3 linked regions of the Anolis sagrei genome follow. The main gene of each other region encodes a partner of the protein of the gene in region 3 in a complex. Links are inferred from orthologs where the notes say so. Each region holds a gene or a part of one and is shown on either strand. Other genes may lie near its edges. The genes, in order: CPSF7, CPSF6 and NUDT21.

Region 1 (3,752 bases), on a different chromosome or scaffold from region 3:
AGATGCAGGTGAAAGGTCAGGAGAGAATGCCTCTAGAACATGGCCACATAGCCCGAAAATCCTACAACAATCCAGTGATTCCAGCCATGAAAGCCTTCGACAATACAATTATTTATTTGTTTATTTACAGTATTTGTATACCGCTTTTCTCACCCTGACAGGGACTCAAAGCGGTTTACGCATAAGTAATGGCAAAAATTCAATGTCAGTACAAACAATTACAATGATATACTACAACTAGCTGTCCCCTGCCACGCGTTGCTGTGGCCTAGTCTGTTGATCTGGAAAATAAAGTAATGAGAAAGTGTTGGTTTCCAATATATGTAATTTATTTCTGCTTGTGGGTAAACAGTATTTTTTGTTGTTTCTTTGCCAGTGTTGATGTGGAGATTGTCTGGTTTGCCTACTCTGGAACATGCAACATATCACTGTCCTTCTTTAGGGGTCCCTTTCAAATCTATGATACTATATCTGTGTGTGTGTGTGTGTGTGTGTGTGTGAATCATATATATTTATCTATATCTATGGCTGGATGGCTCTTTGTCAGGAGGACTTTGATTATGTTTTCTTGCCCTGATGAAGGGAGTTGGATTGGATGGCCTTAAGTATTTTCTGTTGGTCTTGGGGGTTCTGTGTGGGAAGTTTGCCCCAATTCTGTCGTTGGTGGGGTTCAGGATGCTCTTTGATTGTAGGGGAAGTATAAACTACAACTCACAAATGTCAAGGTCTATTTTCCCCAAACTCCATCTGTGTTCATGTCTGGGCATATGGAATATTTGTGCCAAGTTTGGTCCAGATCCATCATTGTTTGAGTCCACAGTGCTCTCTGGATGTAGGTGAACTACAACTTCCAAACTCAAAAAAACAAAAAACCAATGAACGAAATGTCAATGGCCACCAAATCCTTCTGGTGTTTTGTGCTGGTCATGGGAGACCTGTGTGCCACGTTTGGTTCAATTCCATCATTGGTGGAGATTGTAAGTAAACTATAAATCCCAGCAACTCCAACTCCCAAATGACAAAATCATAAATTTTTGAGTGATGGTCACTCCTTGTGTTGTGAGACGTTTTGTTGCCAAATTTGGTGTGATTTCGTTCATTGGTTCTTTTGTTTTTAAGGAACTCATTATGCACAGAGCATTTATATATATATAGATTAGACATTAATCAAATTAAAAAAAATACATCCATGAGCAATCAAACAATAAAACACCGGGCTTGGTCCAGCTTACTCACCCGAACTGACAGCGCCGCCATCTTGGCGCCTTCCCCGGCCGCTCTAGCCCTCCCTCTTGAGCATAAAGAGAGGCGAGCGCAGCCGGAAAGCCGACAGTGGTGATGGGGTTGCGCGCGCCGGGCCGGAAGAGGCGGGCCTTCCTGGAAGGAAGGGAGGGCGGAAGGGGCGGGGCGGCGGCGGCAGCAGGAGGCGCTCACGGAGAGAGGGAGCCAGAGTGAGGTTCGCGCACACGGCCGCTTGCGTCTCGGGCCTGCTGGGGATCCTGGGCCTTGCGTAACGGGCGCGGCGGCGGCGGCGGCGGTGAAGGAGGAGGAGGCGCAGGAGGCGGCCGCGCGGGAGGGGATGAGGTGCCGGCTCCGAGGGGTCGGAGGCGGCGGCGGTGGGAGGTTTCCCTGGGAGCGCGGGAAAAAAAGGAGGCCATGACTGGAGGGAGCGGGAGTGCGCGCGCAGCTATGGCGGCCTCGGCGGCGGCGGCTTGCAAGTGGGAGTAGCGGCGGGAGGAGGAGGAGGAGGAAGGGGGCCTGCTCGGCCTCTTCGCCCCTCCATTCCCTTCCCGCGCCCCCGCTTCCTTCCCCTCCGGGCCGCGCGGCTGAGCGGAGGGGGCGGGGCCGGCGCTGGGCCCTCAGCCTCCCGGGCCCGCCTTCCTCCCGGAATCGTTGTCCGACGGTGGCCGGGGAACTTCATGAGACCCAAGGGCCATCCAATCCAGCCTCCTCCTGCCACACAATTAAAGCACCCCCAACAGATAGCCACCCAGCCTCTACATATGCCTCCACCACACCCTGCGGCGGCAGCGTATTCCACTTTTACCGTCAGGAAGTTGTTCATAATGTTTAGGTGGAGTTAATTTCCCCGCAAGTTGAGTCCATTGCTCCCTTGCGTCCTGGTCTCCAGGGCAGCAGAAAACAAACTTGGTTCCTCCTCAGTGTGACATCCATTCAAATATTTGAACATGACTATTTGTCTCCTCTCAACCTTCTTTTCTCCAAGCTAAAGATACCCAATTCCTTCGGCTGCTCCTCATTGGTCTTGGCTTCCAAACCATTGATCATTGAACATGACCATACATCCCGAAAAACTTACAGCAACCTATTGATCATTTTAGTTTCCCTTCTCTGGATGCATTTTAGCATCTTGGTATCTTCCTTGAATTGTGATGCCCAGAATTGGAGACATCATTCCAGGCGAGATCTGACCAAAGCAGAATAGGTTCTGGCCCAGCTTACTTGTCCGAACGCATCTCCCTCTACATCCCGCCTCACAGTTTAAGATCATCCAGGGAGGACCTGCTCTTGCCCCTGCCAGCATGGCAAATACGGCAGGGACAAGAGACAGGGCCTTCTCGGCTGTGGCCCCCCACCTGTGGAACTCACTTCCCACCGAAGTTTCATCCCTCCTGTCTTTCAGGGTTGTGGTTCTGGGACCAGGCTTTTGGACAACAGACATAGATAGCAGTTTAATATGGAATTTGACTGGAATGACTATATGGCTGTTAATACTGTTTTTATTGTTTTTATGAATGTTCTATTTATTGTTTTTAATTGTTATTATATTGCTTTGTTATATGTAGTGGCATCGAATTGCTGCCAAATGTAAGCCGTCCTGAGCCCCCCTTCAGGGGTTGAGAAGGAACGAGGTAGAAATACTGGAAATAAATAAATAGAGTGGGACTATGCATTTGGTAGAGGTGGTGATGTGTGTTCCTCTTAGTCCTCGATCTCCAGCTGTGGTTCTCAACCTGTGGGTTCCCAGATGGTTTGCTCTACAACTCCCAGAAAACCCAGCCAGTTTACAAACTCTTCAGATTTCTGGGAGTTGAAGACCAAAACATTTGCGGTCCAACAGGTTGAGAACCACTGATCTAGATACGATGATCCTATTGATGCTGCCTAGAATTGTGTTGGCCTTTTGAGCACTAACTCTCCTCCTCTTCTCCCCTGCACAGTGTGCAGCTCTGCCTCCCCTGTTCTCCTCAGAGGCGCTCCTGAAAATATGTCGGAAGGAGTGGACCTCATAGATATCTACGCCGACGAGGAGTTCAACCAGGTGAGCCCCTGCCAAATGGGAGCGAGGGAGAGAAGGAAGGAAAGAAAGAAGGAAAATTTGCCATATTCAGAATCAACTGAAATTTCAAACAATACTGAGGACTTGTCTACAATAATCATTTAATGCAGTTCAAAGCTACCTTCAAACTTTAGTGATCAGACAACAAAAACCCACAAAACTTCATGAAAGAAAGCCCTTAATGTTCATCTGTGCTAATTGCCATTTGGACCTCAAACTGGTTTCATGAGTTCCTATTTAACCACGTTTCTCAATACAAATTTGAAACTGCATTAAATGATATTTGTAGATTCGCCCCAAGATTGGCTACATTTGCCTAAGAGCATAAAAATAGTTAATTGGTTCTTGGGAGAGTTCGAGCTTGATTTATCCTGGGACCCAGTGATTTATCTTTTTCATAGTCCTTGGCATCAATAGAAGACTTCTCAAGCACCACATTTCAAAAGAGTTG
Region 2 (3,752 bases), on a different chromosome or scaffold from region 3:
AAACTAGAAGGAAAAAGGAAGAGGGACCGACCAAGGGCAAGATGGATGGATGGCATCCTAGAAGTGACTGGATTGACCTTGAAGGAGATGGGGGTGGTGATGGCCGACAGGGAGCTCTGGCGTGGGCTGGTCCATGAGGTCACAAAAAGAGTCAGAAATGACTGAATGAATGAACAACAACAACCACCTGGTGGAGCAGTGGGTTAAACCGCTGAGCTGCTGAACTTGCTGACTGAAAGTTGGCCGTTCAAATCCAGAGTGGGGTGAGATCCCGCTATTAGCCCCAGCTTCTGCCTACCTAGCAATTTGAAAACATGCCAATGTGAATAGAGCAATAGGTACTGCTTCTGCGGAAAGGTAACAGTGCTCCATGTAGTCTTGCTGGCCACATGACCTAGGAGATGTCTACAGACAACACTGGCTCTGGCTTAGAAATGGAGATGAGCAGCAGCAGCACCACCACCACCACCACCACCCCCCCCCCCCGAGTGGGACAGGACTAGACCTAATGTCAGGGGAAACCTTTACCTCTACTTTAAGAGGGAAATACAGTAATGCCTCGGTTATCCAACCTTTGCTCATCCAACATTTTGTATTATCCAATGCAGTCTGCCTCCCGCCCGGAATAATATCCAGGGTGGGAGAAATAAAGAATCCTTGTCTGTTTTGGTGCTAAATTCATAAATACAGTAATTATGACATAACATTACTGTGTACTGAACTGCTTTTTCTGTTGATTTTTGGAAAAACATTTTTTTTGGTGCTTGTAAAATTGTAATGTAATTTGACATTTAATAGGTTTTTCCTTCATCCCTGCTTATTATCCAATATCTCTGCTTATCCAACGTTCTGCCGGCCTGTTTATGTTGGATAAGCGAGACTCTACTGTAGTAAGTGTTCACTTAACAATTACTAGGATATTGGCTGGTAGTTATCTCCATAAGACAACATTACAATTGTCATAATTCAAAACCACAGATTTAGCTCAATGTTGGAGTCACAAAAAAGAGGCAACAGTAAAATATTGTGTAAATGCCATTTATTTACTTAAATGTTAGCAATAACGAGCCATGTTTACAGAAAATGCTTCTGCTGTACTTCCTAAACAGGAACATCAGCCCGTTTAGCATGCCTTGAGAATGCTGATTTTATCTGTAAAATCTTTGATTTTTAATACTTACTAGCTGTATCCGCTACATGTTGCTGTGGCCAATCTTCCCTCCCTCTTTCTCTCCTTCCCTTCTTCTTTCTTCCTTCTCTACCTGTTTCTTTCCTCACGGCCTTTGCTCTTTGGTTCCATCCTTCCTTGTCTGGTTCCTTCCTTCTGTCCTTTCTTCCCTCTCTTTCCTTCCTTCTTTCACTTTTTTATTTCCTTCTCTCCTTCATTCCTTCTCTACCTTTCTTTCTTTCCTTCGTTCCTTCCTCCTTTCTGTGTACGTGTTTTGTGTGTATATATATGCATATGTGTGTGTATATAAACAGAGGCTAGATGGCCATCTGTCAGGGGTGCTTTGAATGCAATATTCCTGCTTCTTGGCAGGAGGTTGGACTGGAAGGCCCATGAGATCTCTTCCAACTCTATGATTCTACGTGGTTTTCCGCATGCGCTGTAATGTATTTTTTGGGTTTTTTTGGCTTTTACAGTCTTATCTGCTATGTTTCTCAATGGTTTTAAGAGTAATGGTCACTCGTTGGCCTCATAGGTGTATTGTGTCCAAATCTGGTGTCAATTCGTCCAGTGGTTTTTGAGTTCTGTTAATCCCACAAATGAACATTACATTTTTATTTATATAGACTAGCCACCCCCTGCCACGCGTTGCTGTGGCCCAGTCTGTGTTTACGTGTGTTGTGTGTGTATATATGTTTATATGTATGCGCATATTTGTATATGTCTGCTTGCATATATGTGTGTTTAGTTTTGCGCATGCCTTGTAATGTATTTTTTGTTTTTAAGTCTAGCTTGCTGTGTTTTATCGGTGATGATCACTCGTTGGCCTGATAAGTATATTGTGTCCAAATTTGGTGTCAATCTGTCCTGTGGTTTTTGAGTTATGTCAATCCCACAAACGAACATTACATTTTTATTTATATAGACTAGCCATCCCCGCCACGCGTTGCTGTGGCCCAGTCTGTGTTTATGTGTGTTGTGTGTGTATATATGTGTGTGTGTGTGGTTTTGTGCATGCCTTGAAATGTATTTTTTGTTTTTAAGTCTAGCTTGCTGTGTTTTATCGGTGATGATCACTCGTTGGCCTGATAAGTATATTGTGTACAAATTTGGTGTCAATCCGTCCTGTGGTTTTTGAGTTACGAACGAACATTACATTTTTATTTTTATAGATTTTATTATTTATGTACCTTGGTCACGTATTTAATTTCTCGGGAGAAAAGGGGTCGTGCATGGGTAAAATTGAAGCAGCCCTGCCCTAAACAGCCACCTTTTACGGGAAGCCGTTTCACACACTCCCGGCGGGGCCCCGAGAAACGCTCCTCCATCCTCTGGAGAGGCCTCGTTTGGAGAGAGAGAGGTGTTGTGTTGCTGCCTGCCTTTGCCCCGGGGGAGCGGGCCACAACAAGCCAGGCAAGGCAGTGGATTCGACGACAAAGGAGGAGAGAAAGGGGGCCGAGAGAAAGCGAGCGAGCCGCGCCGGGCCCCATTGTTGTTCCTGGCAGGCCGCGCAGGGCCTCCCTCCCTCCCTCCACGCTAGGCCGCGCCCCCTCCCGCGCGCTCTCCCCCTCAGGCCCTCTTCACAGGCAGCGGCAGGAATGGCGCCCAATGGCGGCAAAGAGGCCTCCGCTCCGCCTGAGCCCGCGCGGCCTAGCAGCGCCCCAAGCCGCCTTACCTGGTTAAACTCCTCTCCTACGTCGGCGTAGATATCTATGTGGTCCACGCCGTCCGCCATATTCCGCCGCCACCTCCTCCTCCTCCTCCTTCCCCCCGCCCGCCCTGCGCCGCCGCTCCTGCAGCCGCCAGACCCGCCCGCTCGCCCGACACCACAGCTGCCGCAAGCGAGCGAGAGGGAGGGGGGCGCTTGGAGGGGCTCCGCGTCACTTCCGGGAGCGAACACAGCAGCTTCCGCTAAGGCAGGCCTTGGAGTACTCCGCTCTTTATGTGCCCCCTCCTTCTTTCCCTCGCGCAGCTCGCTCTGAATCGAACCCCGCGTGTAGCCACGCCCCTTGAGGCAAATCTCTCCCCCCTCCTCCCCCCTCCGTTGGGAAGCGCGCGCGCAGTTAGGAAGGAAAGGGCGCCATTGGTGGCCTTTGGTTCTAACCCGCCCCTCTCTCTCAGTGCACTGCAGATTGAATGGCGTTTGATAACCCTTGTAACTGCTATGCCTCAATGGTACGGATGGAAACCTAGGGGTTGTCTTTGACAAGGCTCCAGCCGCCTTTGACAGAGGAAGCTAAAGGCCTGTGGCCGCTCTGGGCCAGAGTTTATTTATTTGTCGTGTCAGGGCAACCAGTCAATTGTATTACATTTCTAACAGAACAAAACAAACAGACAAAACACATAATTTGCAAGTTTGGTAGTTGATTAAATGTCCTTTGAGCACTTGGGGTTCCTCTGGTGTTGCTGCAAGAAGGTCCTCCATTGTGCATGTGGCAGGGCTCAGGTTGCATTGCAGTAGGTAGTTTGTGGTTTGCTCTTCTGCGCACTCGCATGTCATGGATTCCACTTTGTGGCCCCATTTCTTGAGGTTGGCTCTGCATCTTGTAGTGCCAGAGCGCAGTCTGTTCAATGCCTTCCAAGT
Region 3 (3,752 bases):
CTCCTCTCCATTTCTAAGCTGAAGAGCCAGCGTTGTCCATAGACACCTGAAAGGTCATGTGGCCAGCATGACCGCATGGAGCGCCGTTACCTTCCCGCTGGAGCGGTACCTATTGATCTACTCACATTTGCATGTTTTCAAACTGCTAGGTTGGCAGAATCTAGGGCTGATAGCGGAAGCTCACGCCGCTCCCTGGAATTGAACCTGCGACCTTTTTGGTCAACAAGCTCAGCACCTCAGTGCTTTAACCCACTGCGCCACCGGGGGCTCCTTTGATTGTAGGCGAACTATAATTCCCAGCACATGGAATGTGTGTGTGTGTGTGTGTGTGTATATATATATGTCTCTATATATGTAGGTATATTTGTGGGTGGGGATTTTAATATATGCATATATGTATAATTGTATATTTATTTATTTACGACATTTCTATGCCGCCCATGAGGTCTCTTCCAACTCAGGTGCATGCATGTCTCCATAAATCTCTATGTCTCTATATGTGTGTATGCGCATATATGTATGTGGGCATATTTGTGTTTTTGTATATATATGCAAAAGTACACATATGTCTATATGTGTGTGTGTGTATATATGTGCATATTCATATGTATATGTGTATGCAGATATATATGTTTGTATATGTTTTGTATATGCGTATACAGATTCATGCATATGTATATATGTCTCTATATATGTATATATATTTGTGGGTGAGGATTTTAATATATGCATATATGTATGATTGTATATTTATTTATTTACGACATTTCTATGCCGCCCTTCTCTCCCCGAAGAGGACTCAGAGCAGCTTACAAGATATATATACATACAATATATTATATTATCAGCATAGTACAATATTAGCATTAAATATTAAAGATGGAGGGGTAGCAACCCTTCTCACCCCGAAGGGGACTCATATAAATAGACAGCTAGGCATATACAAGCCCTATGAGAACAAGCCCTATGAGGAGCGGCTTAAAGAGCTGGGCATGTTTAGCCTGAAGAAGAGAAGGCTGAGAAGAGACATGATAGCCATGTATAAATATGTGAGAGGAAGCCACAGGGAGGAGGGAGCAAGCTTGTTTTCTGCTTCCCTGGAGACTAGGACGCAATGGAGCAATGGCTTCAAACTACAAGAGAGGAGATTCTATCTGAACATGAGGAGGAACTTCCTGACTGTGAGAGCCATTCAGCAGTGGAACTCTCTGCCCCGGAGTGTGGTGGAGGCTCCTTTTTTGGAAGCTTTTAAGCAGAGGCTGGATGGCCATCTGTCAGGGGTTTTTATTTGTCGTGTCAGAGCAACCAGTCCATTATATATTACATTTCTAACAGAACAAAGCAAACAGACAGAAAAATACACATCTTGTGAGTTTGGTAGTTGGTTAAATGTCCTTTGACCAGTATCTGGCCACTTGGAGTGCTTCCAGTGTTGCTGCAAGAAGGTCCTCCATTGTGCATGTGGCAGGGCTCAGGTTGCATTGCAGCAGGTGGTCAGTGGTTTGCTTTTCTCCACACTCGCATGCCAAGGATTCCACTTTGTAGCCCCATTTCTGAAGGTTGGCTCTGCATCTCGTGGTGCCAGAGCGCAGTCTGTTCAGTGCCTTCCAAGTTGCCCAGTCTTCTGTGTGCCCAGGGGGGAGTCTTTCATTGGGTATCAGCCATTGGTTGAGGTGCTGGGTTTGGGCCTGCCACTTTTGGGCTCTCGCTTGCTGAGGTGTTCCAGCGAGTGTCTCTGTAGATCTTAGAAAACTATGTCTAGATTTAAGTCATTGGCGTGCTGGCTGATAACCAAACAGGGGATGAGCTGGAGATGTCTCCGCCTTGGTCCTTTCACTATTGGCTGCTACTTCCCGGCAGACGTCAGGTGGTGCAATACCGGCTAAGCAGTGTAATTTCTCCAGTGGTGTAGGGCACAGACACCCCGTGATAATGCGGCATGTCTCATTAAGAGCCACATCTACTGTTTTAGCGTGGTGAGATGTGTTCCACACTGGGCATCATAGCGCAAGGGCAGATGTCTTCACTGTGTCTGGTTGTGATCCCCAGGTTGTGCCAGTCAGCTTTCGTATGATGTTGTTTCTAGTGCCCACTTTTTGCTTGATGTTCAGGCAGAGGGGAAACAAACAGGCACATGAAATCACTCTAAACAAAAGATTCCCCCCAGGCGCTTCTAGGCCATTGAATGCTAATCAAGGTGGTCAGTTGAAACATTCACACCTCGCTCCAGCAGACAAGAGTCCTTTGTCCCACCCTGGTCATTCCACAGATATATAAACCCATTTTCCTATTTCCAACAGACCTCACTACCTCTGAGGATGCTTGCCATAGATGGGGGCGAAACGTCAGGAGAAAATGCCTCTAGAACATGGCCATATAGCCCGAAAAAACCTACAACAACCTTATGTAGATATATTTGTGAGTGTGGGTTAATATGTGCATTTGTGTATGTGTGTATAGATAGACATATATCAACGTGTGTGTGTGCATATACATATATGTGTGTGTGTGTGTGTTTCCAGCAGTAGCATTATGCAATGAGCTGTCCCAGCCTAGGCCCTCTTCCCCACCCACCCCGTCGGATTGAAGGCCCGACTCACAGGTTGATGGTCCTCTCGAGGGTGAGGGGCTTGCTCTGCTGGATGTACTTGTTCCCGAACTGGTTCACCCCTCGGGGCCAGCCGGTCTGGGAGCGGTTGGGCGGCACGACGGACATAATGGAGGCCCACGCGGCGGAGGCTCAGGAAGACACCGGCATCCCCCACCAAGCCTTAGCCACCCCGCCAAAGGCCGCGCCGGAAGACTAGGCCGCACTTCCGGCGAAGAGGCCATTCCCGCTTTCCTTTACACTCGCGCGCGCCACGCAGCCAATCAGAGCGCGTGCGGCGGGCTGAGCTCTCTTCCTATTGGCTGTCAGGAATCAATACTACGGACTCCTTTGAGTCGATAAGCACCAACCTTTACCCTCTCATGGACGCGCAGCCAATCGGAACGCGCGAGGCGGGCTGAGCTCTACTCCTATTGGCTGTCAAGGATTGATACAGTCTCCCGCGGCACAGCCAATGAAAACGCGCAAGGCGGGCTGTACTCCATTCCTATTGGCCGTCAGGAATCGATACTTAGTTCCCATTGGTTGCTATAGCGCCGGCATCTCTCCTTTTAGCAACCTTTCATTCCTATTGCCTGTTACCGCGGCGCAGCCAATGAAAACACGTGAGGCGGGCTGTACGCTACTCCTATTGGCAGTCAAGAATCGGTACTGCCTCCCGCGGCACAGCCAATGAAAACGCGCGAGGCGGGCTGTACTCTATTCCTATTGGCTGTCAGGAATCAGTACTTAATTCTCATTGGTTGCTATAGCGCCGCCATCTCTCCTTTTGGCAACTTTTCATTCCTATTGCCTGTTACCGCGGCGGAGCCAATGAAAACGCATGAGGCGGGCTGTAATCTATTCCTATTGGCTGTCAGGAATCGGTACTTAATTCCCATTGGTTGCTATAGCGCCGGTATCTCTCCTTTTGGCAACCTCTCATTCCTATTGCCTGTTACCGCGGCGCAGCCAATGAAAACGCGCGAGGCGGGCTGTACTCCATTCCTATAGGCTGTCTGGAATCGGTACTTAATTCCCATTGGTTGCTATACCGCCGGCATCTCTCCTTTTGGCAACCTCTCATTCCTATTGCCTGTTACCGCGGCGAAGCCAATGAAAATGCGAGAGGCGGGCTGTACTCCATTCCTATTGGCTGTCTGGA

The links.
Region 1: the proteins of NUDT21 (region 3) and CPSF7 are in contact, whole or in part, in a crystal structure (PDB 3N9U), measured with the Homo sapiens proteins. The link is inferred for Anolis sagrei from reciprocal best matches to the Homo sapiens genes NUDT21 and CPSF7. Residues at the interface, in NP_008937.1 of Homo sapiens: Arg68, Asn152, Glu154, Pro156, Tyr158, Tyr160, Pro162, Ala163, His164, Ile165, Thr166, Lys167; in NP_001129512.1 of Homo sapiens: Trp91, Trp92, Thr93, Thr94, Asp95, Gln96, Glu112, Lys114, Phe115, Glu117, Asn118, Arg119, Ala120, Asn121, Gly122, Gln123, Ser124.
Region 2: the proteins of NUDT21 (region 3) and CPSF6 are in contact, whole or in part, in a crystal structure (PDB 3P5T), measured with the Homo sapiens proteins. The link is inferred for Anolis sagrei from reciprocal best matches to the Homo sapiens genes NUDT21 and CPSF6. Residues at the interface, in NP_008937.1 of Homo sapiens: Pro151, Asn152, Glu154, Pro156, Tyr158, Tyr160, Pro162, Ala163, His164, Ile165, Thr166, Lys167; in NP_008938.2 of Homo sapiens: Trp90, Trp91, Thr92, Thr93, Asp94, Glu95, Lys113, Phe114, Glu116, Asn117, Arg118, Ala119, Asn120, Gly121, Gln122, Ser123.

Annotation. Positions count from the first base shown.
Region 1 is NC_090021.1:236,184,940-236,188,691, reverse strand, and holds the start of CPSF7 (cleavage and polyadenylation specificity factor subunit 7), read left to right. Parts: upstream 1-1,378; 5' UTR 1,379-1,456; intron 1,457-1,465; exon of another isoform or gene 1,466-1,584; intron 1,585-3,182; 5' UTR 3,183-3,229; coding exon 3,230-3,283; intron 3,284-3,752. Other genes in the region: SDHAF2 (succinate dehydrogenase assembly factor 2, mitochondrial), read right to left, coding at 1,237-1,257.
Region 2 is NC_090025.1:143,242,263-143,246,014, reverse strand, and holds the start of CPSF6 (cleavage and polyadenylation specificity factor subunit 6), read right to left. Parts: upstream 2,958-3,752; 5' UTR 2,904-2,957; coding exon 2,844-2,903; intron 1-2,843. UniProt on the Homo sapiens protein: Component of the cleavage factor Im (CFIm) complex that functions as an activator of the pre-mRNA 3'-end cleavage and polyadenylation processing required for the maturation of pre-mRNA into functional mRNAs.
Region 3 is NC_090028.1:6,633,641-6,637,392, reverse strand, and holds the start of NUDT21 (cleavage and polyadenylation specificity factor subunit 5), read right to left. Parts: upstream 2,823-3,752; 5' UTR 2,717-2,822; coding exon 2,601-2,716; intron 1-2,600. UniProt on the Homo sapiens protein: Component of the cleavage factor Im (CFIm) complex that functions as an activator of the pre-mRNA 3'-end cleavage and polyadenylation processing required for the maturation of pre-mRNA into functional mRNAs.